3 linked regions of the Lepisosteus oculatus genome follow. Each later gene encodes a partner of the first gene's protein in a complex. Links are inferred from orthologs where the notes say so. Each region holds a gene or a part of one and is shown in the gene's direction. Other genes may lie near its edges.

Region 1 (7,885 bases):
TAGGTAAAAATAACAAATAGGAAAGCCCGTTTTACTGAAAACAAATGAAACAACCCATGAGCTTAATGAGTAACATACTGGAAAAATACCTTGATACAAGTTCTAAAAAAAATCCTGGGTTTCAAGATTCCTTTCTGATAATAAATCAGGATGCAGCAATGTGCTACAAGACCAGCTGATTCAATATTTGTGGGCTGTTTAATTATTATTTTTTCTATAATTTGACCAAATATTTCCCGTTCAATCCCACTCTTTGCTGAGCTAAGCAGGGAGATATGTAGGACACTGAACTCTCCACACCCACTTAAATTATTACTCCACGATCACCTCACTATGGTTCACTGGCTCCCATAGTAGGGAGGCTGCCCGTGCGTTATACTGGAACATGAGGAAACTGCTACTTCGCATGCCAGCTGCCAGTCTGCCAGCTGCCAGTCTGCCAGTGCCAGACACGCACAAGCAGAATCATGCCCTTCATTGGAACTGAACAGGAGGCTGCACCCGACCAGACAGAATATTTCACACAATCTTCCGCCACAATCTTGTTACCACACCTCTCTGGTACCAGCTCCACCGACCTCTTTTTCCAGAAGGAATACATTTTCACGCAGGCCGCAGCGTCTCCTCACAGATTCCTCTGTGCCTCTGTCTTTGACAGCTTTGTCTTTTGCCCTTCCTTGTCGGCCATAGCGAACGATGAACGATTAAATGCGAGGTGGAGGGCACACATGGAAAACAAGAAAAAGTGCACTTAAAAGGTAGAACAGGAGGCACGTCTTTACCCAAAGAGCTGTGGGAGACTGGAACAAGCTAACCAGTCATGCTGTTAAAGCTGAAACCCCGGCTTGTTTCAAGAAACAGCTGGGTGACACCCTTGGATCAATGAACTCCGGAGTATTCCGTCACGCATAGGGTCTTTAACAACGCATTTCACGGGAGTCTGGCCCGGCTCCCGTGACACTGAGGTCTGCCAGCTCTCTGACATCATCAAGGCCAGCCATTCCTCCCATGAGCACTGGGCCTCCTGCTCCTCACTGCAGCGTGCTCAAAGATGAATGGTGTAATGCGTGGGCAGGCTGGAAGAGCCTGTGTGAGCAAAGATGGAATTGGCTGTTCCAAACTGGGTGGCTAAAATCAGGTCCGTGTCTACAGTAGTTACAGTTCCTCTCGCTCTGCCAGATGTGCCTGGAAATCTTACTGATGATGATAGTCTAACTAAACCTATTCATCCTTCCTTATAAGACTGCGTAAAACTTATCATCTGAGAAAAAATGAGTGCTCCTTTTATACCCTGTTAGATTTATATAAACTTTAGACTACAGCCAAACGAAGCTGTTTTTTTTGCTACGGACGCCAGAGAGGTACCATTCTTTTTCGTCACAGTGCATTTTTTACATAGATGCTTTCCTTACTTATCAAGGAGGTAGTTAGCTGAGTTGTAGCATCTGTTCTCATGTGCCATTTCCTCTAATAAGAAAAGTAATGTCTGTAAGAAAATCTCCAGATGTACAGTTGGTTGATAAATATTTTTACAGACAAATTTCAGAGCTGTACTGTGGGGGTAGGGGCCAAAAACATACATCTCTGATGGGGTTCGTGTTACATTTGAATTTCCTGCTTTATATAGTGCACATGAACTCAATTAACCTACCTGGAGTAAAATATTTTTTTTTTAGGAACAAGCAATAGGTTTATTATATGCTGAAAAGAGAAGAAAGAAAACACAATGTTTCAGCCATGGAGCCTTCTTCAGGTGTGTGGATAAATAATGGATGGATAAAAAAAAATATTTTTTTATCCACCATCCATTTTCGAACAGCTGTATCCATTTTAGGGTTGTGGGGGAGCCGGAGCTGATCCTGGCAAGCAACAGGCGCAAGGTGGGATACAGCTGGACAGGATGCCAGTCTGGGTGGGATACACCCTGGACAGGATGCCAGTCTATCACAAGGGAAACATTTCTTACCACAGCAGAAAAATTATTTTGAGCTGTAACTTTTCTCTTCAGTCTTGAACAGTGATTAACAGAAATGATTAGAGAACTGCACATCACCATTACAAATCTTCAAAGGTATGGGCAGGGTGAGCCTAATATAATTACTTTATGCTCAGCACCGCAACTCTGACCCTAAGGAACATTTTAAAGTTATGCAGAAGTGTGTTTTAGCACGGAGAACTGGGGGCAACTCCTTGCACAAAGCTGGCAGTTCATGTTCTTGAAGTCAGTACCTTGAGATTCTTCAAGAAACAGTTGGGTGAGCTCTTGGGTTATACAGCCGATATTATTCTTGACTTTCTAGACTGACAGCTTCAGTCCTTGGACATAGAGCCCTGTGGTTTTAATTCCATCACGGATTTTAACTAAATAATTCTTCGGATAAGAAGTTGAATCGCCTGCTTTTAGGGTTTTAATCAGTTGGTAACTGAAACGCTCCTGTAAAACCAGTGGAAACGTGGAGGTTCTCCAGAAGAACACGTCGTTAATTCAACTCTTTGGATGAGCAGAGCTACAAAGTGTGAAGGCTAGTAGATAGTGCCACCATCTGGTCACTTACTGAAAGCATCTACACTTTATTCATTACAGACGATGTTTTCTATCCTCATGATTATGCGCGATACGTGCCCTGATTATCTCCCGAGACATCCTGCTCGGCCGGCCAGCAAAGGCTTTATCGTTCATTGAAGACAATTATCCTCGACCCCCGAGGGTTAGCCAGTGAATAATATTTTATGGCTACTTCTCATTTACGGATAACCTTAAAGTGGTCATGACTAATTATTGAGAATATTTAAATTTCACACCTAAAAATGTAATAGTCGCTTTATTTGATCTTTCGAATAAAGGCATTCTGTGATATGTTCTAAAAATATTTACACCACATTGTCAAAGTGAAAACGGTTTCAAAACAGCATTGTGAAATTAAAGCAAGTGTTCTAAAAACATCCAATATAGGTAATAAATTTATATTTAACTGTGTTGCTAAACGAGAAATTAGAAAAAAACAGAGAAGCAAGAAAGAACAAGAATGTTTTGGGGAGAGGACGAGATCATTGTGTAATTTATGATAGCAGCAAGTTTGGGATTATTTTGACAGTTCTAATTAAACCCGAATCCCCCATTAAAAAACGTGTTTTTAAAGCCAAGCAACAAATACGTCTAATTTTATACAAATTGTTGTAAAAAGACAGAATATTTTGTCTTAATATGACATAAAATAGAAGATTCTTGAAAAAAAAACATTTTATAGTATTAATTAATCCTTAGACTTTTTTTCTAGAGCACAAACATTTCCTAAAGAAAATTAAATTTCGAAAGTAAATTTCTAATACAACTTATATTATACTTTTTAGACAACAAGCTTTTTGGGGACTTTTGGTTTGGCGTTGTTTTACTTTTTAGTAAAAGCTTTTATGTTTCTGTAACTTTCTGCATCTTTTACTGTCCCTCTCGTAGTCTGAATATACATTACAAAATGAAAGAAGGCTGTAGTCATAAGGTCGACATAAAATATCCGGTCACAATATTCAAGCAAAGCATGTGCATGGCCATAATTACCAAATATAATTCTAATGAAACATATATTGTAATGGATTCGGGTTCGGCAAGGAATGGAGCAGGCATGGGACTCGGGGAATGGGGTTGAACAACACATTTATTAACTCAAACCGGGGAAAGGTACACACACAGGGACAGGGGTTACAGCGCTGCACCTTCACTAACACACCCACCTTGCGTGCACATGGCTAAAGCGCCCTGCGTGGCGCTACATTGCCCCCAGCTGAAGAGTCGAGTGTCCCGCCGACTCCAAACCGCCCCTCCAGGCTGCTCCGTGGGCTCCTCCTCTAGCCTCTCCGTGTGGGCCAAGGACCTCCATCGGGGCAGGCTCTCCGGCCAGGCCAGGACCCTCCTGGTGGGGGGCCGACCTGAGGCGGCAGCGGCGAGGGCGCATACCCACGGGAACCCCGGATTAATACATTACGCGGCAACTCTTCTATTTCGACCAAAACTTCTAAAGCAATTCCCTTCAGTACTCTATGGGGATAGAGGGCGCTATGGAGGTGCCCTCATTGGGATGAGCCGTTGAATCAGAGTTACAGAAATTTATTTTTACAATAAAATAACAAATATACTCCAATTTGATTCTTAATGTTTCGAACTTTTTTTCGAAACGCTCAGTGGGTTCTCACAGAAACTTCCCTTATTTGCTGCCAGCCAATTGTTACCAACGACACAGAGCTTAACCACGAAGTACCCCAATCGTCAATTACAATATCTACAATATCTGTTCTCTTCTGTCATACGTATATAACACATATTTGTATGATGCGTGTCATATCACTCAATTTAGACCGGCGGTACAGTCTTTTTTCCGTTTCGCCGAGGTTTCTGTCGGTAGTGACCGTCTATGGTTGCTGCTCTAGCAAACCCGCTTGCTACAATATTACAGTCGTGGTGTATATTGCGGGGATGCGGCTCTAAGATTTCGGGACGGACGTTTTACTCCTGATAATGGGAAGCAGCATATGCAGTCAGCGTTCGGGCATGAGACAATATATTACATATTTGATGTAAGCATGATACCTCGTTTACGCACTTGTTTAACCTCAATAATTGTACCGTGCGGCCTTCTAGGACCACAATGCTTGCATGTTAATTAACATTAATGTAAGTTAGACAATGATCATGGATACCATCGTGCATTTCTAAAACATTATTGGAGACAACCATAATACTGTTCATATATCAACCTCTTCACACAGCTATTTTCCCGCACTGAGAAGCGCAATACACCCCGTAGCCAATCAAATTAAAAGGTCTAGAATGTATCCAATTAAAGTACACTTCCCCCTCGGGTTCAAAGGTGAGAGGTCGGGGTAAGGAAGTACTTCCTACTTTGGACGGTGCGGCGTGCGGTGTTTTGTATGAGACTAACAAGACAAAGGTTTTATTATTGAACGATAAAAATGGTGAGTGTGTTTGAGAGATCTCGATTTTAATTGTGATGTGCGAGTTTGCGCTTGATGTATGGTTTCAATCTGATATGTTAGCGCTGGCTACATAAATATTTCCTTTCATTTGTTCTGATGAATTACTAGGCCTCGGTACTGGATCAGAAAGTACTTTTAAATGCGTTGAGAAATCAGTTCTCCGACAGTTCTACATTTTCGATATTGATTTTGCATAAGATGTACGATATGTTTAGGCAGTGAAGGTACTGGAATTCACTATGTCGAGTTTAACAAAATTGAGAAACAGAATAGATGATCTTCCGAGTATTCCGGGCAGAAGACAAGACGTGAAAATACAGTCTTCGTGCAATTCTTAATAGGAGAAAGTTCAGGAAGCGTGGAACTTTTTTAAAACAAGTACGACCGCCCAAATCCAGAGTATATTGTTAAGGATGGTTGAAGGATGCTTTTAATCTAATCAGAATGTCTATTTTCTTGTGCAATTAAATAGTTATGTATGTGTGGAGTTGTAGTAATGGTTTAGGCTTCTGACTCCAGACCAGGTCCAGGGATTCAATTATTAAGTGTGGCTGTTGTTGTACTTTAAAGCAAGTTATTTCACTCAGATTATTCCAAAAGCGGACCTAACCTATAAATGGGTTAGGTTCGAGTCGCCAGTGCGCAGGAGGATTCATTCTCAATTGACTTGTGTGCTTAAAGACTTATTATAACATCATCCAGGTAGACCAGAACAGGCTATCATGTAGAGGAAATGCATGTAATACTGTCCATCCCTCGTCCCTCACTCACAGCAGGTTGTGCTCTCTAATGACCTTGTTGGGATTTGATAGTCTGACTAGCCAAAACATCTCTGAATCTGGATTTCTGGTCAGGCTGGACTGCAGAGTAATGCCAAAAGACATTAGACTGCAGAATCGAGATGGACACTGACCAGAATTCATCTCCCCCAGAACCTGATGTGAATTGTGTGCCACTAAAAAATTGGGGGAAAAATCAGTGTGAATGAAAAACCTTCAGTTTTTTCAGTTCATGCTGTTTCACCACAGTTTCACCACACATAAATCATTTTTGAACTCCTGAGTCATTGTATTGGAATAATAATTCTAGAAATGTATCTTACTCATTATCCTTGAAAAAATGTTAAACTGATTTTTCTATACCTAATATTGCAGTGCACGCACAACTTGTCATTTAACAATAACAGAATATTGAATAGATATAAATATTGCATTTATTGTTTTTTGTTCACTGAAAATTCAGGCCACAACGACATGTCTGAAAAGGCTAATTTGTCTTTTGTGAGGGCGTACATACAGTTTCATTATCATTCACTGGATACTTCGTTTACTTTTTTTTGTAGCTGTATTTTTTTAAGACATAGGCAAGATGTTGTCCAATTGTCTGTGAGAAAAGGGTATATTTGTTTTATCTCCCTTCACTTGGTAAGGGTTAATGGTGCTTGCTGTCTTTGTAGAGTTTGCCTCTGAACCCCAAGCCCTTCCTCAATGGCCTGACAGGAAAACCAGTGATGGTGAGGCTCAAGTGGGGGATGGAGTACAAAGGATATTTGGTCTCAGTCGATGGGTACATGAATATGCAGGTATGTAAACATGGATGCGTGGTGGAACATGGCTGCTCACATGTCTATGATGGGTATTAGGATTTCATTTTTTACATTTGACTACATTTTTGGCAGACCAGCACTGAAGAGTTTCTTAAACATTCATGCCAATGAAACTGATGATCGAAAGCACAGGGTTGAGTTTGTCCTTATGGTTACTTTTCTCATTTAGATTGGGGGGGAACAAATGACCATGTTGAATGATTATATGTGATCCTTAATGATCCTTTATACAGTATGTGTTCTGGGTGTAGTGAGTTTTACACATTACTTTTGTCTATCCTGTAAATTTTAACTTTGTAGGAAACGCATTTGTAGAGATTGATAAGTCATGTTTGTGCTCCTATTTCTTTTCACAGCTTGCCAACACTGAAGAGTATGTTGACGGAGCACTGGCCGGTCATTTAGGAGAAGTGCTTGTGAGGTAGGCAACTAAGCAGAGCACAAGAGTGCTAGTTTTTAACTTAAAAAAAAAAGTTAACTTAAAATTTTTTGAGTTGACGTATGTGGTTAAATAAAGCTTTATTTGACTGGATATTGTTAAAATCATTGAAGCATGATGATGATGAAATCAAATGAAATTGATAATGCATGTCTTTTGAATTTCATGGTGTATAGTAAGTCTTCCATAATAATTGTAATTGAGAATTAAAGAATTGGCTATGGAATCACACTAATTGTTTGATCCTAAATGTGTTGTCATGCCATTTAACAACATGTACCACTCTTCTTTGTTTTGATTCAAGGAAGGAAGATTTCAGTGAATTCTGTGTCTGCTGTATTATAATCGGCTAAAGCATGTCAGAATACGTTACAATGCATCGATTTTGTATTGGAGTAGTTGGGGAATTTGTGACCTTTGTGGATTTCCTGATGAGCAGAAATGTTCTTGTCTTGTACAGGTGCAATAACGTCCTATACATCAGAGGTGTTGAGGAAGAAGAAGAAGATGGAGAAATGAGAGAATAAAACATTGTGAAGAAATTCTTGATTCTGGGTCACTGATTTTTACATAGTAATTAGAAATGTCACTTTTTTTACGCCATATAAAAAGCCTGTGATCTGTGATAGATTCTTTGGTAGGCAGGAAGCTTGAAATGGAGCCTGTAATTTCCTACCAAAGAAGAAAAAGCTGTTTTTGTTTATGTATCGAAAACTTAACGTGGTTGTCTAACATTGTGCTTCAGGAGCAGCACTGATGTAATAAAATTGTGCATATTGCACTTTCTTAGAATTTGTGATTGAGTATTTTTTAATGAACCACAAGGAATGGTTAGAGTGTTTTCTGGATGG
Region 2 (7,455 bases), on another chromosome or scaffold:
CTTTACAGAAGCTCTCGGCGGGTGAGAGTAATTATTCACATACTTATGTAAAAGTGAAATTTTGGAGTAGTAAGAAAATTGTGCTTCAAAGCTGATCTGTGCTGAGAAAATAAATGTTAAATAGCATCAAAATATGTTTTGAGCAGAGTAGAAATGCGGTAAATCCAGGAAAGAGGAGTGAAGACGGACCTCTTCTCTACTGCCTGCTGCAGCTTTCCCTGAAACCTCACAACAAGGAGAAATTAAAGTCAAGCAGCGGTGCTTCACTTTGAAGTACTCAATCAGCCAATCAGTACATCTCTGCTTCTCTCCATTCTAGCTAAAGAATCAGTTTAAGTAGCTCTGACTGGCAGCTAGGCCTAACCGGACAAAAAATACCACACTGCCGTCAGCAGCTTGATAAGTAGCTCTATTGATTTTTAAACTTCAGCTTTTAAGATTTGGAGCACCTAAAGCCTAAGTTCAAATTAATACATTTTAATGATGTTTCCTTAGTCTTAAGCCCCTTTTGAAAAAATGCAGAAAAAATAAAAAGTTTTAAAAAAAGATAAGGATACAGAAAATTAAACAAAATCCTAAACTACAATATTGTGTATTGTGTATTGTGCCTTTCATCTCAAACCAACCTTACTGAACTATATGATATACCATCCTCTCAGAAAACCATTGCCTTAAATAATGCAGAACTATTCCTTAAAAAGCTCTTGTCTGAGTGGGGAAATGGTAGTCATGACATTTTGTATTCTCCTTCCCCAAAACCATTTTCCACAGAAACCACTGAAACAAATTTACAAGTGCCAGCGCTTCACTTGCAGTAAGATCCCAAACAGGTTCTTGATAACCATTTCCTCTTACTAGGACAAGTGGCATTTCAACACAACCCCACACTGCTTTCCAGTCTTGCCTGTTATGCAATCAATCTAGTTTTTCATTGTTCTCATTTACGCTAAGTCATCTAAGAAAATTCTGTGAAACTGTTATCTTCAGGTTTTAGAGGAAGAAAATAATCAAGTTAATGGACTTAGGGTAAAGAAACAATCGTGGCATTAGAATTCCCCCTAGTGGTAGATTTAAAAATGACACACAGCCACACTACTTTTTGCAAAATATTAATTTCTTATTTCACATTGATGAGATAAATGAAAAACACACTACAGTCTTATATTATAATACTAAAATGAGTATGTACTCATCACATATGTCAATCCAGGAACTAAGCTTATCTGCACACCACTTCACAGTAGGCCATGTTCTGTAAGTATTAATGTCAGCACTCCAGCAGTCCCATGCAGAGAGGCTATATGGACTCTTCCTGAATGATATATACCGTGCATACGTCATTCGTGTTACAAAGCCGTCAGTACTGAAGGTAAAAAGAAAACACGACGAGGATTCCTCCCTTCATTAGCTCCTGCACACCAACAAGAAACTGCCAGTGACATTACACTCAGAAAGAAATGGACTCTTCTCGCCCTGTGGATAGGTTTTGTTGTATTCTACAGAAGGTAGGACACTAAAGGTCCTACAGTTACAGTAAATTGTACTGTTTACTATATATAAGCCCAATGACTTATATAAAAACACTTAATATTATTCTGAAAAATACTTCATAGAAATTCTGACATGCTCATGCAAGTTCAGCCTATTTATGCACATAAGCTCCTCCACTTCTAAGCTCTCAAACTGATTTATCTGATTGTGAGTAACAAAAGGGACTGCTTTCTGCATACTCCGGAAAACGGTACTTCCCCTGCAGAAACAGGCGGTGCGAAAGTCAGAATAAGAGACGCACCCATCCCGACTGAAAACACGAATCCAGGCCTGGACGTTAGGCCCCAGGATGCAGAGACAGCGCAGGGTGGTGAATGTGGACAGCAGGACAGCAAAGGAAAAGGTTTCAAGCGCAGACCTGGAAAAGAGAACACATATCCTAGCAAGGCACACCCTGTCCTTGCAAGAAAATAGGTCTTTATTTCACTTATGCAAAGTGCTATGATTTGTGGGTAAAACACCCTGCTCTTGGTCCAGGAATGTGTGTCAATTCAGTCAGGAATATTACACCCGCTGCTCAGACAATATTTAAGACACTCTAAAAGGGTTTGGATTAGTTTCAAGCTGGGATCCGGTGGGGCACTTCAGACCTCAGCAATTACTTTTCCTAAACAAATCTCAGTCACACCAGCAGGATGCAATGAAACAAGAGAAAGACTTTCAAAAACATCACTGACTATTTGACTCATATGTCCTGATGTGAAACATGAACAGGCAGAGCATTTTAGTAACAGGACAAACTATTCCTAGTGACTTGTTGTTAAGTACTTACTCCAGCAAAGGTGCTCCATACAGGACAACAACTGTGTGGAACAGGAAGCAGGATAATATGAAATACAGGCAGGACCTGAAGGCTTTAGACACCTATGGATAAGACCAAACAGGTTTAATAATTACCCACTATATCTTTATAGTGTTTGCTGGCTCGGTTACCACAAAATGATATATGTGGAGACCAATGCAATTCAATGGACAAGCATACAGAAAACCACTCAAAGCTTCTAGTCCCTATATCAACTATAAGTGCAGAGTATTTTTATTCATATAGTTAATCTCTAGATTCATATATACCAGTTATTCTAGTGTTACTTCCATTTTAAAATTAAACTGCATTAACTGAATTAAAGGTACTTTAAAAAGATAACTGAAAACATTTAAAAGTTGTATTGGGTTGTGCAATACCTGTGAAAGCAGGCTGATTCTGCAAAGAGAAGAAAGTCTCCCTCAGACCTCACCTTGTAACTCAGAGTATTCTTCTTAGATGGTGGACTGATGCCCAGCAGCCAATAGACAGTGATGTTAACAGCAGCCACAGCTCCAGAGACAGAATACAGCCACACAAGGTGTGTGCCATAGACTGAAAACCCATCCACAAACAGAAGGGGCAGTACTGTGGCCATCAGGACAGAAGCTGCCATGATGGTATGGGCAGAAATCATTCCCTTGATCTCAATATCCTTCATGGTGATCCTAGGTGATTCCAGGCTGGAAAACAAGCACGCAATACTACCAACTTCAGGATACTTAAATCAGTTCAGGTCTGGGGAATATCAGGAGTTTAAGACTGCTTGCTAAGGTACAACACTCAATAGTAACATCCAAAAACAGCTGACAAAGGCCTCTGTATAGTGTTGGCTATCTGTACTCAAGAAGACACGTGGTCACCTGATTTCAGTTCCATCTGTGTTCTCAATTTTGTCAGAAATTATTATTTCCTTAAAACTCTAATACAGCTGCGTAAAGAAAACTTCCAGTGCAGAGGACACAAACTCAACTTGGGTTTTCGGAGCTGCGAATTCTTACTGTATACAAGCAATCACCAGGTTCTGTATATTAGCTAAGTGTTTGTACCTTAGTTTATCTAAATCTGCGTAGAAAAGGTAAAAATATTTAAATGTCGTTGGTACAAAAGATCGGACATTTTCAAAATCAATTTTAATGTAAAAAAGAATAAAACTGCTTTACACCACGTCTATATCCGTTGAGGGATTTGTGATCAGCCAAGAGTAGCTGAAGACGGGCGGCCAAGGCAAACCTGACTACAAGTTTCTGTCTCAAACCGTCACAGTGTTCAGAAACTTAACATACACGGGGAACCCTTTTGTAGAGGTCTGGCGTCTCCTACAGGAGCTGCAACTTTTCAAAAGTTATATTTCATCTTTAGCATTCTTCCAAGCCCCGGTAAATCATCAAGTATCAAATCTCTACCGTTCCAATTAAACTTAAAACTGCAAAAAACTATGCACTGCGTAAGAAACTGCAGACATTATGCCTATAAAACTGAATAATCAACAAGAGAAAATAGGATCGTAATTATATTTTAAGAAATGGCTTACCCTCTAGATGGACGGATTGTTGCTATATAATATCATTCAACGTTGGAAAAAAATAATAAACTACTATATACATCAAGCGAATGAAAAAAATCTGAATTATTCTCAAGAACACGTAGCCTCTAAAAGGTGTTTTTCCATTTTTTTAGTCGTGGTGCACAAATGCACGACAATAGCCCACAACAGTATCATTCATACCTGATTTCCGTATGAAATATATTCTGCGCAAGGTCAGTACAGCGTAAACAAGGACGTGGGGGGTGTCACGGCGTGTTTTGCTTGACGTACATTTTGCCCAATCAAACAGTTGCTTCATACCGATTCCCAATCGCCATCCGAGTGGGCGGGGATAAAGTCTAAGGTCACTACCCACAAACCCTGGGAAAATGCAAAATATTACGGCAGACTAGCCGGAAGGAGTAAATTCTTTTTGAGACGCATAAACACCCATATATTTTATGTGTTTACTATAATATGTAGAGTTCAGTAGTTTATTTCTGCCATGTCAGTGGACGTCGTAAAGCCGGTGGTACAGGAATGACGCAAAGAGGGGGTTAATTACAGTCGAGGTGCATTTATTTAGTTTGAAGTATACAGTACGCACTCTTTCTGAACGGAAGGACGAGACGGGAAGTTGTCACACGGCTCTGGCACCGGCAGAGCAGATAGTTTGTTTTCCTTTTCTCCGCTGTAGGTGGATTGATTTTCTTTTTTTCTCGTTTTAAGAGAGGAGAAAGATGGTTTGTGAGAAGTGTAAGTGGTTTCGTGACTTTGTTATAGTTGTCTCTGAATACAGGTCGCACTGATCATCTCTCCGTGATAATCGTAATAATCGCCAACACTGGGACGTTGCTTCGCTGTTTACAATTTGTGCCGCAGTGGAAATGCTAGAAAAAATAGTCACATAACCAGTATATCCATTCATTTTTAATGTGAGGCAATTGCGATTGTATACTATTTTCTTCATTTCTTTTAGTTTCCTTTGTACTAGGCGTTTGTAGGTATTACTGGCAGACGTCCTGTCGTGTGATCTTAAACGAAGAGACGGCGACTCCGCTGTTCATCTCTGGCTGAAACTCTTTGTAATTTGCAGGTGAAAAGAAACTCGGCCGTGTCATCACTCCGGATACATGGAAAGATGGAGCCAGAAACACAACAGGTACCCTAACTAATGCACTACGCTACACGTAAGCAAATAAGAAACGGAGATTTGAAGTGCAGCCTTTGAACTCAGATACGCAGTTAACAGAGATCCTTTTCCAACACTGATCAATTTCTGGATCTGGATGTGTCCGTTCCCCTTCTTGAACTCGGATACATTCTGAGTACTGCCAGATCTAGGTTTTCGGTCACTTTCTAAGGGTTTTCAAGACGTAGATCACTTTTGCAGTTGATAATGGAGTGTTCAGCATCTTCTGGAACAAGATGTGTGCTCCACGAATAATGGGGAGTAGCCTAAAACATCATTACATTAGAAAGGTTGGGCATTAATCAACCCACCTTTGTTTCTTACAATTGCAGAAAGTGGTGGCCGCAAGCTGAATGAAAACAAGGCGCTTACTTCTAAAAAAGGAAGGTAGGTGCATCTTTTCATTAAAAAAAATGGTTCACATTTGTATTTTCTATGGAAATGTACATAGTGCTTTTCATTCCAAAATTTGTCACATATAGAAGGTGACCCACTTGATTTACTGCTGAAGTGCAGCACCCCGGGTAAAATGCAGCTACCATTATGTGCGCCAATAATATCAATAGTCTTGCTGACACCAGTGGAGAAACCATCAAGATAGCTTGTCTCATAAAACTGTGTGCTCAGGATTCTTTGAGTCTTTAGCACAGAACTACTAAATCCAGACTTTCATTGTTGGCATATGTGCTGTTTATTTGTAGATTTACCTTAGTAGTATACAAGCTAACCTTATGTGTCTTTATCATGTTTTCCTATCTTTTGTTTTAGGTTTGACCCCTATGGAAAGTCCAGATTTGCGATCTGCAGGATTTGTAAAAGCTCAGTCCACCAGCCTGGTTCAAACTATTGTCAAGGGTGTGCCTACAAAAAAGGTAAGAATCCAGCTACTTATCTGGGCATTGTAGTAATTTAGGAATGAAGCAGGTATGCAAGTCATCCTAGTAAATGTTTGTTGTGGAAGTGTGAAAACCTGTGGATTCTAATAAGTCTCTTGTTTTCCTAGGCATCTGTGCAATGTGTGGCAAGAAGGTTTTGGAAACCAAAAACTACAAGCAGACCTCAGTGTAGTCAATCCATCAAATTGTTTATGAAAGGAGTTACGGGGACTGCACTGGTCCAGCACTGGTTATTCTAGAGACAGAGCTGCATTGAGCTGGTTCTTGCATGCTGGGCTTGCTCATGGAAAACAGACGCTCAAAGCCATGAAGAACCACTACAGACAAAGCTGTCTCCGCAGTGTATTTTTTAAAGCCTTGTTTCTATATTCAAAGGTAGTTCTCTTCTGCTCTTTGAATCCAAATGTTAAATTAGCTTTACTTTAGGCCATACTTAAATATATCCTGTAAAACAGCAATATACACAAGTTGATGACAGCGGCTCTCTAGTGGGTGGGATGGTATCCTTTCATATCTGTAATAGTGATCATGCTTTATTCATTACAAATTACATATTGACGTTTTTGTTTTATTACAGTTAAGTGTAATGGTTACAATTGCAATGTAACTGGGTTTCTATAAATATTTTTTGCTATCTGTAGTTCTGTAATTTTTTAGTGATTACTGACTTACAAGACTGTTAATGTATAAGGACTTATCAGTTTACGTTGTGCTACTAAGATAAAAACTCGTTTGTAATAAAAGCTTTTAAAGGGAAGATAGTTGATCTGGAAAATAAAATAATTTAACTTAAAAGTTGTATTTTTTCAAATTCTCAGGATTTGTTATTTGAATTTTCTTTCCTGCACGCAGACATGGGTTTCCATTCTAGCCTCTAGATGGTGCTATTTCCGTGCTGAAACTTTGGCATCTCCAGAGCTTTAACTTTTAGTTGGAAATATATAGTGACAAGGTCAGTGTACCTTGGTGAATCACGCTAAAGGTATACATGTTGACATTTAAATACTTTTTTTGCCCTTAAGGTACATTTTCCTACACAATATTTCCATGAATTGACTTCTTGCTCCTCATATTTTAGTCCTACGCAATAACTTAAGGGTGTGGAACAGAACATCATGTTGATTACAAACCCCTTTACCTCATATTAAGCTTCTTATACAGCTATGACTCCCTTCATGTTATGGAAATTAAAACTTTGCTATTTGTTGCAAACCCCGGTCCCTGCTTCAGGCGAGGGCAAGAGCTCCCACGTACTGTGATATGATGTGGCCCTTCCTGCTCTCTAGTCACTGGAAAGCCTAATGTAATGTGAAGTACAAGCCAATATGTACAGGTTGTGTAGCAGACATTTCATCGCAGAAATGTTCCAATGTGATGTGCATGCAGGGCATTGCTTAAAAAGAAATGTGTTCACAAGCCTGTTTTTTTACAATGTAATAAGGCTGACTCATGTTACCAGACGTTTTGTTGCCTTGTTCTGAATTGT
Region 3 (7,644 bases), on another chromosome or scaffold:
CCCTCTGGAGAGGGAGGCCCCCCATGAACAAGGAGGGGTCGCTGTGTGACCCCGCGGTGCCCCAGGGGGCAGTGAGACGTGGGACAGAATGAGGCCTGTTGTACAGGTTGCATGTGTTTGTCTAAAAGTGTGTTGAAGGGTATTTTATACATAAACACACTACACACTGATGTATACACAATGACACACTGAAACACTACACAGCACTCTCTTCCTTTACAGCTCTGATGATGATGAAGGAGTGTTCATGTGAAGATACAGAGGAGCTGGACTGAGTGTCTGTACAGTGACTCTCCAGCTCTGATGATGATGAAAGAGTGTTCATGTGAAGATACAGAGGAGCTGGACTGAGTGTCTGTACAGTGACTCTCCAGCTCTGATGATGATGAAGGAGTGTTCATGTGAAGATACAGAGGAGCTGGACTGAGTGTCTGTACAGTGACTCTCCAGCTCTGATGATGATGAAGGAGTGTTCATGTGAAGATACAGAGGAGCTGGACTGAGTGTCTGTACAGTGACTCTCCAGCTCTGATGATGATGTGTTGTATGAGGAATCCTGAGCTCTGACCCAGGTGAGGGGTGACCCTCTGCTCTTCAATGAATTCTGCTGTCGCTGTCCCTGTGTTTTTATTCGAACAGCTGTGGGCGTTTCGCCCTGTTTTTGCTACAATGTTTTCACTTGTTAATTTTATATCAGACCAGTTTAAAAGCGTCTCTCCTGGTGGGGTGCTGTACAGGTCACCCCATCTTACTTTGCTCCCCTCCCCGAGGAACTGCCGTCCCAGAATCCGAATAAACTGCCAGTGTTTGGAAAGGAACTGCAGGTGTCCGTGTTTTGTCTGCTTTGCTGCTCGAAGCTGGTGCTCGTGATCCATACGAGATTTTAACTCCTGTGCATCTACCGCCCAGCCAGTCTCTGGTTGGTGAAAAGCCCAGGTGCCCGATCACAGATCCCTGTGGTGATCTATCTGGTCGCTGAAGAGCCCAGGACCCCTGATCACAGATCCCCAGATCCCTGTGATGATTTTTCATCCCTGTATTTCCAGGGAAAAGCCGGGCTGTGCACTGGGATGTGGGAGGGTTTCGACCTGAGGGACGGGGGGGGCGGTGGGGTTTGGGGAAAATGTGCTGCGAGATCCCCCCCAGCTGGGCCTCAGAGGGAAGGGATTTATTTAGGGGTGTCAAGGGATGACTACAGTATCCTCACCCCCTGCGTGGACCCCCTCCTCTATCGCATGCAGAGCCGCTGGATTTGGGACACGGGGCGATGAGACGAGAGCTTACCCTCCCCTCCCCCAGCTTCCTGCTCCTGCAGGGGTGGGAGAGGACAGGGGAGCGGGCCTGGGCCAGGAAAGCACCAAGCGGCAGGAGCAGAGTGGACCGACGCCAGGCACGGCACAACACCGAGCACAAAGGCGAGCACGCACTAACACAGCCAGGGGGCGCTGGCCGAGGGGGGCCGGTCGCGGATCGCGGCTCCGCTGTCTCGCAGGCGGCCTCCGCTCTCCGGCTACGCAGAACAAAGACTCCGTCTGCGTCCTCGGCTCGGCCCGGCCCCCCCCTTCGCTCGGCGGGCGAGGTGGGATTCGGGACTCGGGACATGTCTGCTCCCCTCCCCCAGGCCCTGGGGACTGAGCGGGGAGGGAAGGGGGGTCCAGCGCGGACCAGGCTGCGTGATGCCAGCGATGGGCTGAGTGCAGTTTATTATTCGCGCTTTTATTATTTATACAACACAGATTGCAGCCACTTGAATTAACTCGCCAGATCCAGGCACGAGGCAAGTCTGCCTTTAGAGCAGCACAAATGTACAGTATTTACACACTGTTACAGTGTGTGTGTGTGTGTGTGTGTGTGTGTGTGTGTTCTCAGAGACAGAAGGAGAAGCCAGTCTGGGTGTCAGTGTGTGTGTGTGTGTTCTCAGAGACAGGAGGAGAAGCCAGTCTGGGTGTCAGTGTGTGTGTGTTCTCAGAGACAGGAGGACAAGCCAGTCTGGGTGTCAGTGTGTGTGTGTGTGTGTGTGTGTGCGTGCGTGCGTGTGTACCAGCCCAGCTCTGTGCTCCTTGCGTGAGCTCTAATGCACCACAGTGGATGAGCCCAGCAGGGAGCCGGAGTGCAGGAGTTAGAGAACGAGTGAGTAAGCACAGAGCCCCTCCCCCACTCTCTGTCTCACACAGCTCAGATCCCCTCTCCCCCTGCCGCAGGCGCCCCTCGCTCTGAAAGACTGGGATCCCTCCCCAGCTCGGTCTGGAGCTGCTCCACGCTCCACAGACAGAGCCACCCCAGGCCATTCAAGTCCTTGACCCACTTTAACAAGGAGAGCAGCACTTCAGCAAGCACACTGCAACCTTCCTATTGAGTAACAGGCATCCTATAGAGACACTAACACTGTACACGAGTCCTACAGAGACACTGACACTGCACACCAGCCCTACAGAGACACTGACACTGTACACCAGCCCTATAGAGACACTGACACTGTACACCAGCCCTACAGAGACACTGACACTGTACTCCAGCCCTACAGAGACACTGACACTGTACACCAGCCCTATAGAGACACTGACACTGCACACCAGCCCTACAGAGACACTGACACTGTACACCAGCCCTATAGAGACACTGACACTGTACACCAGTCCTACAGAGACACTGACACTGTACACCAGCCCTATAGAGACACTGACACTGTACACGAGTCCTACAGAGACACTGACACTGTACACCAGCCCTACAGAGACACTGACACTGTACACCAGCCCTACAGAGACACTGACACTGTACTCCAGTCCTATAGAGACACTGACACTGTAGACCAGCCCTACAGAGACACTGACACTGTACACCAGCCCTACAGAGACACTGACACTGTACACCAGCCCTACAGAGACACTGACACTGTACACCAGTCCTACAGAGACACTGACACTGTACACCAGCCCTACAGAGACACTGACACTGTACACCAGCCCTACAGAGACACTGACACTGACACTGTACACGAGTCCTATAGAGACACTGACACTGCACACGAGTCACGAGTACGACATACAGTCGTGGCCAAAGATATTGGCAATCTTGCACTTTTTACAAAGGTGCCGATATTTGTTTTTCAAAAACTAAGTTGAAATTGACCAAAGTATTTAGTCTCCACAATTCTTTCTTTCACTGTTAAGATTACCGAACCTTTATTTTGGAGCCAGAACTTCCAAGCGCTTCCTGTGCCCCTCGATGAGCTCCGGGGCAGTTTGGCCCCCTCTCCGCAGGCCAGCTGCTCCAGCTCTCCCAGCTCTGAAGGGCTGGAGGGGCTGCAGGCGAGACAGCGATGCCACTGATGTGTTCTCATCAGACGAACGGAGGGGACCGCGGTCAGTTTAATTATCCGTGTGGCCTGGGCTCCCACTCTCAGTAACGAGACAGGGTTCTCCCACAGATCATGCTTATCTCACACGGCAGCCGGTGCCCAGACAAGACATACTGCAGATGTAACACTAATACAATGAATTAGTCAAATCAAAACCAGTTTTACCATTAAAAATAACAAACGAGTCTACACAGAACAATCACTTCATTAGCCTTCAGAAAGCAGAACTGGGTCAGAAAAGCGATAGACAATGCAGATTCAATATTTTCTAAATCTTTCTGATGGCAAATTGAGAAGGTTATTTTAGCCCTACTATCACTCTCGTTCACCGTGTCCTTGCCTGTAGAGATGGAATGTGGGGACTGCCGTTTTCTGTCGGCCATTTCACTTGATTGATTCATGTTTCAGGTTGTGCAGGAGTGAGGACTTCCTTTGTATGAGCCAGCTCAGGAGTGAAGGAGAAGCAGATCAAGTCAAGCTCAACTCCATATCGAGACAGGGTGGCTCCAGGGTCAACATTGCTACCTCACAGCGCACGTTTGTACGTGTGGAGTGCAGTGCAGTGTCGGTCATCCATCTGTACTTTTCATTTTTTTCTGCTCGCTTTTCACACAGTCACACCGCCCTCTTGTGGCGCATGCACGAACTGCGCCTCGAACTACCAGAGAAGAAAATTTTCCGTCTTTCTATTGTTGCAACCTTCGTTTAATTATGGGTTTTAAAAACTTTAAGCCGCGTTGTAATTGCTACTACCATGCGAGGCATCTGTTTCACAAAAAATATTTCCAGTAACCACGCCCGACTGTATGGGTTGACTGGGATGTGAAAAGCTGACCCTGCCAATGAAGGATCCCCCGCTAGCGGGCCGGAGTGTTACTTGCAGGGTGTGAATGGTCGTTGAAATCGAAAAATTCGCAAAAGCTAAGTAAAACAACAGACTGCACTAAAATGCCACTGCCCAGCTGCTTTAACTGCAGATAACGTGGAAACGTCACTGAGAAGCAGTCGCTTAAAAAGAATGCTCTCCCCCGTCATGTGACAAGGACTACGGCTTCGTTTACATCCTTTGGGACGATGGGCTTCGTGACGCCATTTCCGCTTCCGGCCGGACGTTCCCTGTACGTTGTTGGTGTCGCGCCGTGCGAGCCGAAGAGTTCACTCTTCTTCGGGAGCTGTTCGGGTTTATTTTACTGTTGAGTTTTTTTTTTCGATTATAGTAATATTTTTTAAAACGAAACTGCTGATATTTTACTTAAAAAGTCAACGTTTACCCATTTCAAGTGAACCCGCGTGGTGAGTACCGATTGGAAGAGGAACGGACGGTGTTAACGCGCCACATTATCGTCGTACTTTTGTTTATCGGTGTAGTTACTGGGGAATATGGGTTTTAGGAAGTGTTTCAGAACTGTTGATGTTCATCAGCGAAACTTTTATATCCCGGATATAATTAGACATTGTAACCGCAGGACTTGAGACTCCTAGTGCACAGGGTCGTGTATGTACGAGGGCATGGATGTGTCACGTTGACAACTTTCTTGTATAATTAATTGAACAGATAGTATAATAATTGCAAAAATGCTTAGTATGTTTCCTGTAGCATCACAGTTAGCACCATAGCGCACTGCTGGGCGTAAGTCCTGGGGTGGATGGGGCAGCTGGGAGGCGGACTATCAACACTGTAAGATCTGGAGTGGATACACTGAGGGGCGCGCTGGGGCTCTCTGAGCTCATGCTGGCAGTGGAGCCTCTGGTGACCGTGTGAGAGAGCGCTGGACTGAGTGACCGTGTGAGAGAGAGCTGGACTGAGGGACCGTGTGAGAGAGCGCTGGACTGAGGGACCGTGTGAGAGAGCGCTGGACTGAGTGACCAGCTGAGAGAGCACTGGACTGAGTGACCGTGTGAGAGAGAGCTGGACTGAGTGACCGTGTGAGAGAGAGCTGGACTGAGTGACCGTGTGAGAGAGAGCTGGACTGAGTGACCGTGTGAGAGAGAGCTGGACTGAGTGACCGTGTGAGAGAGAGCTGGACTGAGTGACCGTGTGAGAGAGAGCTGGACTGAGTGACCGTGTGAGAGAGAGCTGGACTGAGTGACCAGCTGAGAGAGAACTGGACTGAGGGACCGACTGAGGGACCGACTGAGAGAGCGCTGGACTGAGGGACCGACTGAGAGAGCGCTGGACTGAGGGACCGTGTGAGAGAGCGCTGGACTGAGTGACCAGCTGAGAGAGCGCTGGACTGAGTGACCAGCTGAGAGAGCGCTGGACTGAGTGACCGTGTGAGAGAGAGCTGGACTGAGGGACCGTGTGAGAGAGCGCTGGACTGAGTGACCGTGTGAGAGAGAGCTGGACTGAGTGACCGTGTGAGAGAGAGCTGGACTGAGTGACCGTGTGAGAGAGAGCTGGACTGAGTGACCGTGTGAGAGAGAGCTGGACTGAGTGACCAGCTGAGAGAGAACTGGACTGAGTGACCGTGTGACAGAGAGCTGGACTGAGGGACCGTGTGAGAGAGAGCTGGACTGAGGGACCGTGTGAGAGAGAGCTGGACTGAGTGACCGTGTGAGAGAGAGCTGGACTGAGTGACCGTGTGAGAGAGAGCTGGACTGAGTGACCAGCTGAGAGAGAACTGGACTGAGTGACCGTGTGACAGAGCGCTGGACTGAGTGACCAGCTGAGAGAGAGCTGGACTGAGGGACCGACTGAGAGAGAGCTGGACTGAGGGACCGACTGAGAGAGAGCTGGACTGAGGGACCGACTGAGAGAGAGCTGGACTGAGGGACCGACTGAGGGAGAGCTGGACTGAGGGACTGACTGAGGGAGAGCTGGACAGGGACCGACTGAGGGAGAGCTGGACTGAGGGACCGACTGAGGGAGAGCTGGACTGAGGGACCAGCTGAGGGAGAGCTGGACTGAGGGACCGACTGAGGGAGAGCTGGACTGAGGGACTGACTGAGGGAGAGCTGGACAGGGACTGACTGAGGGAGAGCTGGACTGAGGGACCGACTGAGGGAGAGCTGGACTGAGGGACCGACTGAGGGAGAGCTGGACTGAGGGACCGACTGAGGGAGAGCTGGACTGAGGGACCAGCTGAGGGAGAGCTGGACTGAGGGACCAGCTGAGGGACCAACTGAGAGAGCGCTGGACTGAGGGACTGACTGAGGGACCAACTGAGAGAGCGCTGGACTGAGGGACCGTCTGAGAGAGCGCTGGACTGAGGGACCGTCTGAGGGAGCGCTGGACCGAGGGAGCGCTGGACCGAGGGACTGACTGATGTACACGAGCCGAGTGACCGGGTGCTCTGTGTCCGCAGGGCTGGGATGTCGCTGTCGAAGCGGGAGCTGGAGGAGCTCCGCCCCTGGGTGGAGCGGACGGTCAAGAAGGTGCTGGGCTTCTCCGAGCCCACCGTCGTCACGGCCGCGCTGCACTGCGTCGGCAAGGGGCTGGACAAGCGCAAGACCACAGGTCCGTGTGGCCGGCCGGCCGGCCGCTGCCCGTCGCCCTGAGGCCTGCGGCCGCCTTGCGCTGACCGCTTGCCCTGTGCTCCCCCCCCAGACCAGCTGAAGCCGTTCCTGGACGAGTCGACGGCGAAGTTCGTGGACCGGCTGTTCGAGGCGGTGGAGGAGGGGCGCAGCTCCCGGAACTCCCGCTCCGGGGGCGAGAAGAACCGCAAGCGGGACCTGAAGGTGAGGGGGGGGCTGGGCAGTTGGATGGGGTAGCTGGGCGAGGGGCAGGGGGGGTGGCGATGGGGTAGCTGGGGTGGGGGGGTAGCTGGGCAAGGGGCAGGGCAGTTGGATGGGGTAGCTGGGCGAGGGGCAGGGGGGCTGGGGGGGGTAGCTGGGTGAGGGGCTGGGGGGGTGGTGGTGTGGTAGCTGGGGTTGTGGGGGGGTAGCTGGGCGGGTGGCAGGGGGGCTGGGGGGGGTAGCTGGGCGAGGGGCTGGGGTTGTGGGGGGGTAGCTGGGCGAGGGGCAGGGGGGCTGGGGGGGGGTAGCTGGGTGAGGGGCTGGGGGGGTGGTGGTGTGGTAGCTGGGGTTGTGGGGGGGTAGCTGGGTGAGGGGCTGGGGGGGTGGTGGTGTGGTAGCTGGGGTTGTGGGGGGGTAGCTGGGCGGGTGGCAGGGGGGCTGGGGGGGGTAGCTGGGCGAGGGGCTGGGGTTGTGGGGGGGTAGCTGGGCGAGGGGCAGGGGGGCTGGGGGGGGTAGCTGGGCGAGGGGCTGGGGTTGTGGGGGGGTAGCTGGGCGAGGGGCAGGGGGGCTGGGGGGGGGTAGCTGGGCGCGGCACCATGTGATCGCTA

Evidence for each region.
Region 2: snrpf (region 1) and cript share a complex: the UniProt entries of both Homo sapiens proteins name them as parts of the minor spliceosome. The link is inferred for Lepisosteus oculatus from reciprocal best matches to the Homo sapiens genes SNRPF and CRIPT.
Region 3: snrpf (region 1) and prpf3 share a complex: the UniProt entries of both Homo sapiens proteins name them as parts of the U4/U6-U5 tri-snRNP complex. The link is inferred for Lepisosteus oculatus from reciprocal best matches to the Homo sapiens genes SNRPF and PRPF3.

What each region holds. Positions count from the first base shown.
Region 1 is NC_090702.1:41,356,237-41,364,121, forward strand, and holds snrpf (small nuclear ribonucleoprotein F), read left to right. Parts: upstream 1-4,858; 5' UTR 4,859-4,965; coding exon 4,966-4,968; intron 4,969-6,445; coding exon 6,446-6,571; intron 6,572-6,951; coding exon 6,952-7,016; intron 7,017-7,494; coding exon 7,495-7,561; 3' UTR 7,562-7,826; downstream 7,827-7,885. UniProt on the Homo sapiens protein: Plays a role in pre-mRNA splicing as a core component of the spliceosomal U1, U2, U4 and U5 small nuclear ribonucleoproteins (snRNPs), the building blocks of the spliceosome.
Region 2 is NC_090712.1:13,353,613-13,361,067, reverse strand, and holds cript (cysteine-rich PDZ-binding protein), read left to right. Parts: upstream 1-4,264; 5' UTR 4,265-4,621; coding exon 4,622-4,637; intron 4,638-4,977; coding exon 4,978-5,043; intron 5,044-5,405; coding exon 5,406-5,460; intron 5,461-5,841; coding exon 5,842-5,945; intron 5,946-6,076; coding exon 6,077-6,141; 3' UTR 6,142-6,764; downstream 6,765-7,455. Other genes in the region: pigf (phosphatidylinositol-glycan biosynthesis class F protein), read right to left, coding at 1,793-1,909, 2,324-2,415, 2,787-3,014. UniProt on the Homo sapiens protein: As a component of the minor spliceosome, involved in the splicing of U12-type introns in pre-mRNAs. Involved in the cytoskeletal anchoring of DLG4 in excitatory synapses.
Region 3 is NC_090722.1:7,131,719-7,139,362, reverse strand, and holds the start of prpf3 (U4/U6 small nuclear ribonucleoprotein Prp3), read left to right. Parts: upstream 1-4,453; 5' UTR 4,454-4,654; intron 4,655-6,666; 5' UTR 6,667-6,673; coding exon 6,674-6,818; intron 6,819-6,908; coding exon 6,909-7,039; intron 7,040-7,644. UniProt on the Homo sapiens protein: Plays a role in pre-mRNA splicing as component of the U4/U6-U5 tri-snRNP complex that is involved in spliceosome assembly, and as component of the precatalytic spliceosome (spliceosome B complex).